Linked DNA regions of Macaca fascicularis. The protein of the gene in region 2 interacts with the protein of the main gene of each other region in a pairwise test. Links are inferred from orthologs where the notes say so. Each region holds a gene or a part of one and is shown on either strand. Other genes may lie near its edges.

What was found.
Region 1: the proteins of RGS19 (region 2) and GNAZ interact in a two-hybrid assay, tested with the Homo sapiens proteins (2 studies listed by BioGRID). The link is inferred for Macaca fascicularis from reciprocal best matches to the Homo sapiens genes RGS19 and GNAZ.

Annotation. Positions count from the first base shown.
Region 1 is NC_088384.1:29,632,000-29,635,941, forward strand, and holds the start of GNAZ (guanine nucleotide-binding protein G(z) subunit alpha), read right to left. Parts: upstream 2,801-3,942; 5' UTR 2,585-2,800; intron 351-2,584; exon of another isoform or gene 230-350; intron 1-229. UniProt on the Homo sapiens protein: Guanine nucleotide-binding proteins (G proteins) are involved as modulators or transducers in various transmembrane signaling systems.
Region 2 is NC_088384.1:120,217,470-120,222,028, forward strand, and holds the start of RGS19 (regulator of G-protein signaling 19), read right to left. Parts: upstream 3,095-4,559; 5' UTR 3,029-3,094; exon of another isoform or gene 2,449-3,028; intron 432-2,448; exon of another isoform or gene 294-431; intron 139-293; 5' UTR 71-138; coding exon 41-70; intron 1-40. Other genes in the region: protein LKAAEAR1, read right to left, coding at 4,021-4,038. UniProt on the Homo sapiens protein: Inhibits signal transduction by increasing the GTPase activity of G protein alpha subunits thereby driving them into their inactive GDP-bound form. Binds to G-alpha subfamily 1 members, with the order G(i)a3 > G(i)a1 > G(o)a >> G(z)a/G(i)a2.

The DNA.
Region 1 (3,942 bases), about 91 Mb from region 2:
TCAGCAGCAGTGAGAGTGCCTTTGCCGCCACACAATTAAGTCTTCTGAGGCTAGCGTGGGACAGACAGCACAGGGCTGCCTTCCCTGCCTCCAGAGGAGGAAGCTGCACACATGTGTTCACACACAAGATGACTAAATTCAGCATTCCTAAATTGCTATATTCAGCATTCCTGTCCTACTGGCCTCTCTGCGGGGGCCCTGGGCAGCCCTGTCAAGTCCATCCAGTTACCTGCAAATTCCTGGAATTGTTCTAGAAGCTCCTGAGGTCCAGACTGAGCCCCACCCACACTCCTGCATCGGGTTCCAGCCACTCTGGTGGGGCCTCCAGGTCTCTGAGGTTCCTCCTGAGACTAGAAAACAAAAGGCCTGAGAGGCTGGGGACAGAGGGAAGAATCCATTCCTGGTGTCCCAAACCCACAGTTGCATGCCAGGTCCCTGCAACAGTCCAGGCGACAGGCACAGAGCGCAGCAGCTCACCCTGCTCAGCACAGACTGCACACCCCACGAGGGCAGGCCCTGTTCTCGCTGCATCAACCTGGGCCTTGGCCAAAGCCAAGTGTGTGTTGGGTGGGGAGGGCAGGAACACCACAAAGATGAGTAACAAACAGTTCCTTCAGAGGGAGAGCAAAACATCCCCAGAAATGAGGGGGCTGACCTAGGGCAGAAAGTGACACCAGCTTCCGAGGGGGAGAAATTATGCCTTATTCACCTCCTGTCTCAGAAAATCAACGTCTGTTAGAGGAACACACAGGAAGACTTTTAAACCAGATGCCAGCATCTTCTCATTCCTAGAGAATGAGGCTTGCTTAAGGCGCATATTTTATCCAAGCACCGCCAGGCCATCCACACCCCCACTGCACCCCCTAGATGGATGCTCCCAGGCTGCCACGATTACTGCTCTCAAACATCCACATCCCAGAGGCACAGAGTCACCAGCTAAGCATCATCCCCAAAACAGGCAACTCAATCCTAACAAGGGGGTTGCCTGGGTGGTTACCCGGTGCCCTGGCTGTGCCCAAGGGAGAAGTGCCTGGAAGCACAGACTCAGACTGCAAGGAGCCTTCCCCAGTCTTTTAAGCTAGCCCTTCTCCAGGCCCACCCCAGCTCATGGGGTCATGGAACTGCTTCGCTTTTACAGATGAGGAAGCTGTGGTTTCCACCACAGCCACAGCTAACCAGCAGCGAGGTCATTCCACTTCCAAGCTCCCTCAGCTCCGTGCAGCCCCCACCCGCCTTTCCCGCCATACCTCCCACTCCTCCCCAGGCTTGCCGGTGCTCCCATTAGACCTAACCGCCCAAGTGCCTTGGTCCATTCTCTCCTCTCTGCCCACAATGCCCAGCTTAGCTGTGCCCATGTCCTTCAAGCTCCAGTTCAAATGTCATGTTGTCCACGGGCTCACCTGACCCCCCAGCGCAGGGCACCACTCTAAGGTCCCTACCAAGGCCCCTGCACCTGCACTCAGGCTGGGTTGGCCGAGTAGAGACGTGTTCCCCTATGGGGTGGAGAATCAGTTCTGGGAGGGGAGGCCCAGTCCACTCCCACCCGGTGCACCCCAGCACCAGGCCCTCGGGGAGTGAGCACTCAGTAAATATTTGCTTAATTGAATTTGGCCAAGGAGCCTTCTCCAGAGAGCTCAATCCCCAGGGCAGGGAAATCACTTGGGCAGAAAGGAGCCGGTCAGGGGCTGAGCTGTCTCCCCAAGCAAGACAGACCTCTCTACCAGGCGGGTCCCTCCACCTCAACACGGACTCCGTGGAACACTGGTCTTGCTTGGCATCGTCCTCTTGTCTCAGTAACAGGAGCCCCAATTCTCGGCCTAGGCCGAATCCTGCCATCATCACCCAGAAAGGCTCAGCACCGCCCTAAAGGCAGAGCCCCCTCGGATCGCCCGCAGGATACGGAGCGCCTGCCCTGAGGCCCTCACTCCCCTCCCCCAAACACCCCCACCGCCTTTTAAGGGAAAAAATATTGAGCCGGGAACGTATTACAATCGCAGCAGGTCGATACTCATCTCTTGCTCTAAATGCCTGTGAGGAACCTGCTCGCTTCAAGAGCAGTGACCGAGAACTACTAGCCGTCCGTCTCCGGGCCCAGGTCCTCGGGCCCAGGCCTCTGGGGCCCTTTCCTTGGTTTCGGGAAAGGCCCTGCATCGGCTCCGGCCGCCCCTCCCTGATCCCCCTCTAGGGAGACCCGCCTCAGCGCCGCTCCCGCAGCTCGCCTTGCCCGCCCAGGCTCCCCACCAGCCGCTGCTCGGGGTCGCCCGGCAGCCCCGCGCGGCATCCCCGGCGCCCTCTGTCCATCGTCCCGGGTCCGCAGCCGCCCCCTCCCGCGGGGTCATGGGCTTGGCGGCGCCTCCCTCCCCCAGCACCTGCCCGACCAGAGGCCGCCCCCTGCCCACCTCGCAGACGTCCCCGCCCTTGGTGTCCCCCACCCCTGACGGGCATCCCTGACGCTGCGTCCTGGCGGATTCGGGGCACAAAGGCCCGGGAGGAGTACCAAGTGAGGGCAAGGTGGACGCCCCGGTCATGCTCCCGACCCCCGAGGCTCAGCGGCGCGCGCCCGGCCGCGGGTCGGCTCACTCACCTCCGGGCCGCCGCACAGAGCATCTGCTGAGCTGCTCCTGGCAGGGCGGGGCGGGGCGGGGCGGCGAGCGCGGGGCCGCGGCGCCCTCGTTCCGTACGACGCGGGCGGCGGCGCCCACGCGGGGACGTGACCGGACCGCGGGCGGCGCACACGCTCCGGCCGGCCTGGCTCCCTCCGCCCGCCCTCCCGCGCCGCCCGCCGCCAGCCCGCTGGTCCGCCCGCCCCGCGCCGCGCCGCCGCCGGCAGGGGGCGGAGCCGCGAGCGCAGCCCGTTGCCAGGCCAACCGCGGGCGGGGGGTGCCGCGCGCCCGCCGGGCACCACGCGCCGGGCACCTCCGCCCCGCCACGAGCTCCGACCCTCTGTCCATTGGGCACAAGCAGCTGACGGACGGGCCAACAGTCCAATGGGGACGGACAGGGGCGGGGTCGCGGCTCCGCGCGCGCCGCGGTCCCGCACGCGCTCCCCGCGCCGGCGTCCCAGTGACTCCGCTGCGCTGAGGCCTGGTAGCCGAGCCCGAGGGGCTACTTCTGGCAGCCCGGGAAAACGAGCCTGAGCCCAGTCATGGCCCTGGCCCTCTTAACTGCAGCCAGTCGTCCCGGCTCACCTTCTCTCCACTCGGGTTCAAACCCAGCTCGGCCTCTTGTGAGCTCTGCGTCCTTGGGCAACCGACTGACCTCTTCCAGCCTTTCTGTTTGCAAAGTGGGGCTAGTGGCACCTGCTTTCCTGGATTGTCTCACCAATCCTTCAGAACGTGTGAAAGGCCTATGCAAACCCTAACGATTTACAACGGTGAGGTTTGTGCCGCGATGGGAGGGGGCATTAGTCATCTCTGCTGCTCCAGTGTGTAGGGGCTCTTTGGCGTCCCTGGCAATCCTGGCACACGGAAAGGTGGACTTGGGAGGGAAGGAAGGGAGAAGGACCAAGGAGCTGGCCCCCAGCCCAGAAAAAAGTGAGGGAGCCAGTTCAGTTAAGGCCATTGGCGCTGTTGGGAAGCTCGTGGAAAGCATCAGACCCTCAGCAGAATGCAGCTGAACCCAGGCTGCAAAATTCTGCTTTCAATTTCAAAGCCTGTCTGTGGACCTCAGGGCCAGGAGCCCCCTCACTTCCATGCTTAAAAGACTCTCAAGCCAGAGGGCCAAGACGTGAATGCTGCTCTCTGTCTTCTCCATCTTTGTAACCTGAAGCTTTGTGTATCCTAGAGCATCCCTGGCAAAGTGCAGATGCCTTCCCAGCTAACACCTTCCTTATCACCTTACACCTCTGTGGTCAAATTATGTGGATCGTGCCATTCTTTGAGCAGCAGCCCTGGACCTGACCATGGCAGAGGTCAATAGAGTGGTCTCTCCATCGTAGCTCTG
Region 2 (4,559 bases):
CTACCCCAGGGGAGCAGAGGCAGAAGGGGAGGTGGCATACCTGCTTCTCAGCCTCATGCGGGGTGGGCATGGGTGGGCGGAGGAGGTTGCCCAGGCTCCGTGGTGCCAGCTCTCAGACCCTCACCACAGCCTGGGGGTCTAGGGAGAGGGGCCAAGGTTCTGACTGAGAACCTGAAACCCCAGCCCCTGCCTGTCCCTTAGGAGGGGTCCTGAGAGGGTGTCTCCCTAGCAGGGCCTGCTCCTGCCTCTGGACCCGGCTCTGTCCAGGGCTTCTACCCCAACCCCAAGCTTACAGCAGGGCTGGGAGGGGGTCTAGGGTCATTGAGGAGGGGGCTGCAGCAACTTCTGGCCCCTCCTCCCAGGCTGGGCCCCAGATGAGGCCCCCACAGAAGGTTCCGAGACACCCCCATCCGCTCACTCCCTGGGAAGCCGGAAGCCTGGGTTCCTCTTTCTCGGTTTCCGGCTCCCAGCCCCTCCCAAAGGGGCCCCAAGAGTCTGGGGCTACCAACTGTGCGTGCGGGTGGTGGCCAGACTTGCTTCTAGGGCGTCTGGGGTGGGGAGTGGGCAGAGCAGCTCCCACCAAGAGTCCAGGTCTGTCTGCGGGTCCCAGAGGTCTCAGCCAGGGGCAGCAGGTTAGACCTGCCGCAGTGAGGTTTTAAGTGGGACTCAGGGCTGGACTCTCTGAGGGTGTGGGGAGGGGGGCAGGGCCCTGGTGAGGAGGGACGTGCCCCCCAAACATGGTTCTTTGGTCCTGCTACCTCCCTCCCAAGACTTCCCTCCCTCCTTGCCCACTGCCTCTAGGCTGTGAAACCGCTGTGGAACCAAGGCCGTACCACACAGTGCGCCAGCCAGGGAAGTGGGGGTGGCAGTGGGTGGAGGCACCCTCCTCCCCAGTCAAAGCCTCAGAGTCCCTGAGGGGTGTGGTGTGGTGCGTGTACCTCCCAGCGTTTGGTTGCACCATCGGCAGGGGAGGTGCACCAGGAGCGCCAAAGCTGTGGGTGGCCCTCGTGCCACCTAAGATACCACTTTGAACCCCAGGTCTCCTTGGGCAATGGCACAGGGGGGCCAATCAGTGCCCCGGAGGCAGTTGTGAACACCTGCGCCCACCTCTGCCCTCTGGGCCTCCATGCATGTCCACCACCCTCCTCCCTGGCCAGGAAGCTCACAACTTGGTTCTACTTTATTTTCTCAATCTTCATCCCCCCCGCCACGCCTCCCTTAGCTTGTGGCCTTTGAATGCTTGTTTCTGTCTGGTTGGTCTCTCTTGGCCTTCTGGGACGGTGTGTGAATGGCGCTCAGAGGAGACAGTGCTGGAGTTCTGCACTCTCAGGGCCCCCAATACCCCTGAGGCCTGGGCATGCAGAGGCCACTGCCCTGGCCCAAGTCTGGGGCAGGTGCAGCATCCCCCGGGACCTCGGCCCCTCACCGCCTGCCCAGCTTCCTCTGAGACTGTGGGTCCCACAGGTTCCTAGCAAGTAGATGAGGAGACAGAAGGTGGCCCCGCAGCTGGGCTTGCTTTCAGGGGTCAAGTTTCTAGGGAAAGGAAGGGGCGTGGCAACCTGAGGTTTGGTAGCTGTGCCCAGACGGGGCTGTCTGTGACTTCCCCAGGCAGCAGTTCTTCCTCCTCTCTGCCCCCACCCAGGGTCCTCCCCCACACTCTAGCACCCCGGAGACTGTCCCTCCTGGGCTACCATGTCCACCCCAGCTCTGAACTGGAGGAGGGGACATGTTTAGGGGTGCCAGGCCGGGGTGCTAGGGGCTGCATTTGCTGCAGAGGAGGGAGCCAGCCCCTTCTTTCCCAGCTTCAGGCCCTGGACCGGGTCACCTGTCCCTGGACTGGGCTTCCTGTACCCTTCTCAGGTCAGCTGGGGCAACCCATGTCCCCAGGCTACACCCCCTTCTCTCCTGGAGGATACAGAGTCTCAACTAGGGTCCTCCTGCTTGTCATCCTGGGATTGGGGACCCCCCTTCCCCAGCCTCCCAGGCTTTGGCCCCCAAGTCTGGGATGGGAGAGTCTGGACAGGCGGCACGTCTGGTCTCTGGGGATAGAGGCTCCCTTGGGAGTGGCTGCTGCTTTGCTCCACAGAAGGAAAAAGAACGTCCCAGAGCCTGCCCAGTCCAAAAAAAGAATAAGAAAATGTGACAATCCCAGAAAAAAATGTCATAACCTTTGGGAGGGGTTGAAGAGGGGCTCCATTCTCAGTTCTTAGCGCCCACCCAGGGCCTTTCCCATCTGCCACCCTCCACATCTGGCTGGTGGATGAGCCCTGGCCTGGCCCCTCCAAGGAAGGCCAGCTCTCCCCACCTCTGAAATGGTGGTGGTGACCCACCCACCACGCTCCTCTGGCTGCTGTTAGGGTCCCGCCTGGAGGAGCCTGTGTCCTCCTCCAGGTGCCTCTTTCTCCAGCCTCTGACGCCCCCACCCCTACCTCAATGCTCCCTACTCACCAGCGACCCAAAGGCAGGGTGGGGGCAGGAGGGGCCAGGTTGGGTCTGGGCCCCACCCTGGCTGCCGAAGGGGCGTGCACTGCAGCAGCAGGGACTCAAGTCAGACGGCAGGAGGGACTCCTGCGGCGCTCTGGAGGGAGGCTAGCGCCAGGAGCCCCCGATCGGCTGGGGCCGGGGGCGCAGCGCCTCCCCTACAGCTCGAAGGGCTGAGTGGCTGCCAGATCCAGCGGGGTGGGGGCGGGGGCGGACAGGGTGTCCCGCCCCGGCCCCTCCTCACCGGGCTGGCGGGGGGGAGGGAGACGCGGAAACCTGGGTTCTTCCGGCCCCCACCTTTAAGCAATCACTTCCCCAGGCTTTGAGCTCCACAAAAAGGGGAACCCGGCTGCAGCGCCCCCTCCCCCAAGCGCGGGGGGCGGGCTCCAGTTCCACTGCGGCCCAGGGTCCACGTGGACCTGGCGGCGGGAGTCCTTGGGGTTCGAGTCCCGTGCGCCGGCTCCCGAAGCTCCCGCCCCGCACGGTCCCCGGGCCCGGGCCGGGAGGGGCAGGGCCGCTGTCCCCGGCGCGGCGCGCGCGCACTCACCAGCCGCGCTCCCGAGCCACTCGCGCCGCCGCCGGCCCGCGCGCTCCAAGGTCCGGCCCGACAGTCGGGGAGGGGGCGCGGGGGCGCAGTGCGCAGGCGCCTCGGCAGCACTTCCCCAAAGCCAGGGGCCGGGACTTCCTCGCGCCGGGAGGCGCCGGGCCCGCCCCGCCCGCCGCGCCCCGCCCCGCCCCGCGCTCGGCCGGCTCCACACCCCACCCGCCCCGCCCGCGCTCGGCCCCCACAGTCGCTTGGGGGTGGCCCGGAGGGTTGAGGTGCTCGTAGTGGAGCCCTGGCCCCCGGGCCGACGGAGCTGCACGGTAGTAGATGGGGGTGTGGCCGTGGCCCCCGACTCTGCTCGGCGGGGCCGTTCCTGCCTTGCTGTTCGTGTGGGACTTGCACGACACTCCAGTGTGGAGGCAGGAGAGCGGGGCCCCATATGCTGCTTGCCCTGCTTGGGAAAGAGGCGGCTGCTGGAAAGGACCGATCGGCGGGCACGCCAGCCCGGCCCACCCCTCGCCTCCGTGAGCTTCGTCTGTAAAACTGGGTTAAGAGCCTGTCGTGCTGTGGGGGGTTCCCAAGGAAGGGGGAGATTCCTGTGCTGCGGGGCTGGGGAGAACTGGGGGTGCGGGTTCGTGCACCCGGAGTCATGTCGAATGTCTCCTGCGGGGCCTGGCAGAGTCCCTGCTGACCCGTGTGTCCCAAGATGTCTTACGGCTTAAAGCCACACTGTCCCCTTTGGCTGACTCTTCTCATCCTTTATGACTCGGTACAGATGTGGGCCAGGCTTCTCATCGCAGCATGCTTTGGCCCAGTGTCGGTGGCCCTGACCCTGCTCCGGAAGTGTCTGCAGAGCATCTGTGCCCCCCGCCCTCCCCGGGCCCAGCTGTGTGCAGCTCCCGTCCTACCCAGCACAAGCACTCGACCCGGATAGCTCCCAATGTCGGGGTCCTGTTCATCAAATGCCTTCCAATTGCACAGGTCAGGTGCACACCTTACACCTTCACAGAACTCTGAGGGGTGGAAAGGGAGATTTTACTTGTGTTCCTCATTCAATGGACAAGTATCAGTATCTGGGTGCCCCTGTGGGCCAGGCAGTGGGACCAGAAGCCAGCAACATAGATGGGCCTGGATCTGATGCTAGGGGCATAGAGTGAGTTGTGGGGAGCAGGCAGGGAAGGCCTGAGTGAGAGGCGGGAGGGCTGAGAGGGGAGGGTGTTGCACTGCCGAGGGGGGTGAGGGCCTGAAGGGGGAGGTCAGAGGTCAGAGGTCAGAGGGCCCTGGAGGACAGACTGCCTCTCGCAGCTGTACCCAGAGGTCTGGCCGACTTGACTGCAGAACCCTGTGACTGCCATGTTATCAGGCCAGGCAAGCAAAGGCAGGGGCCAGGAAGTCCACAGGGACAAGAGGCAGGCTGCTGCTTATTCAGCCCAAATAACACTCCTGGGAGGTGGGCACAGGTGAGGTCAGGGAAGCTCAATGAAGATGGGCCAGCACCTGGTCCAGGCCACACACAACCACCTGACCCCGCTGA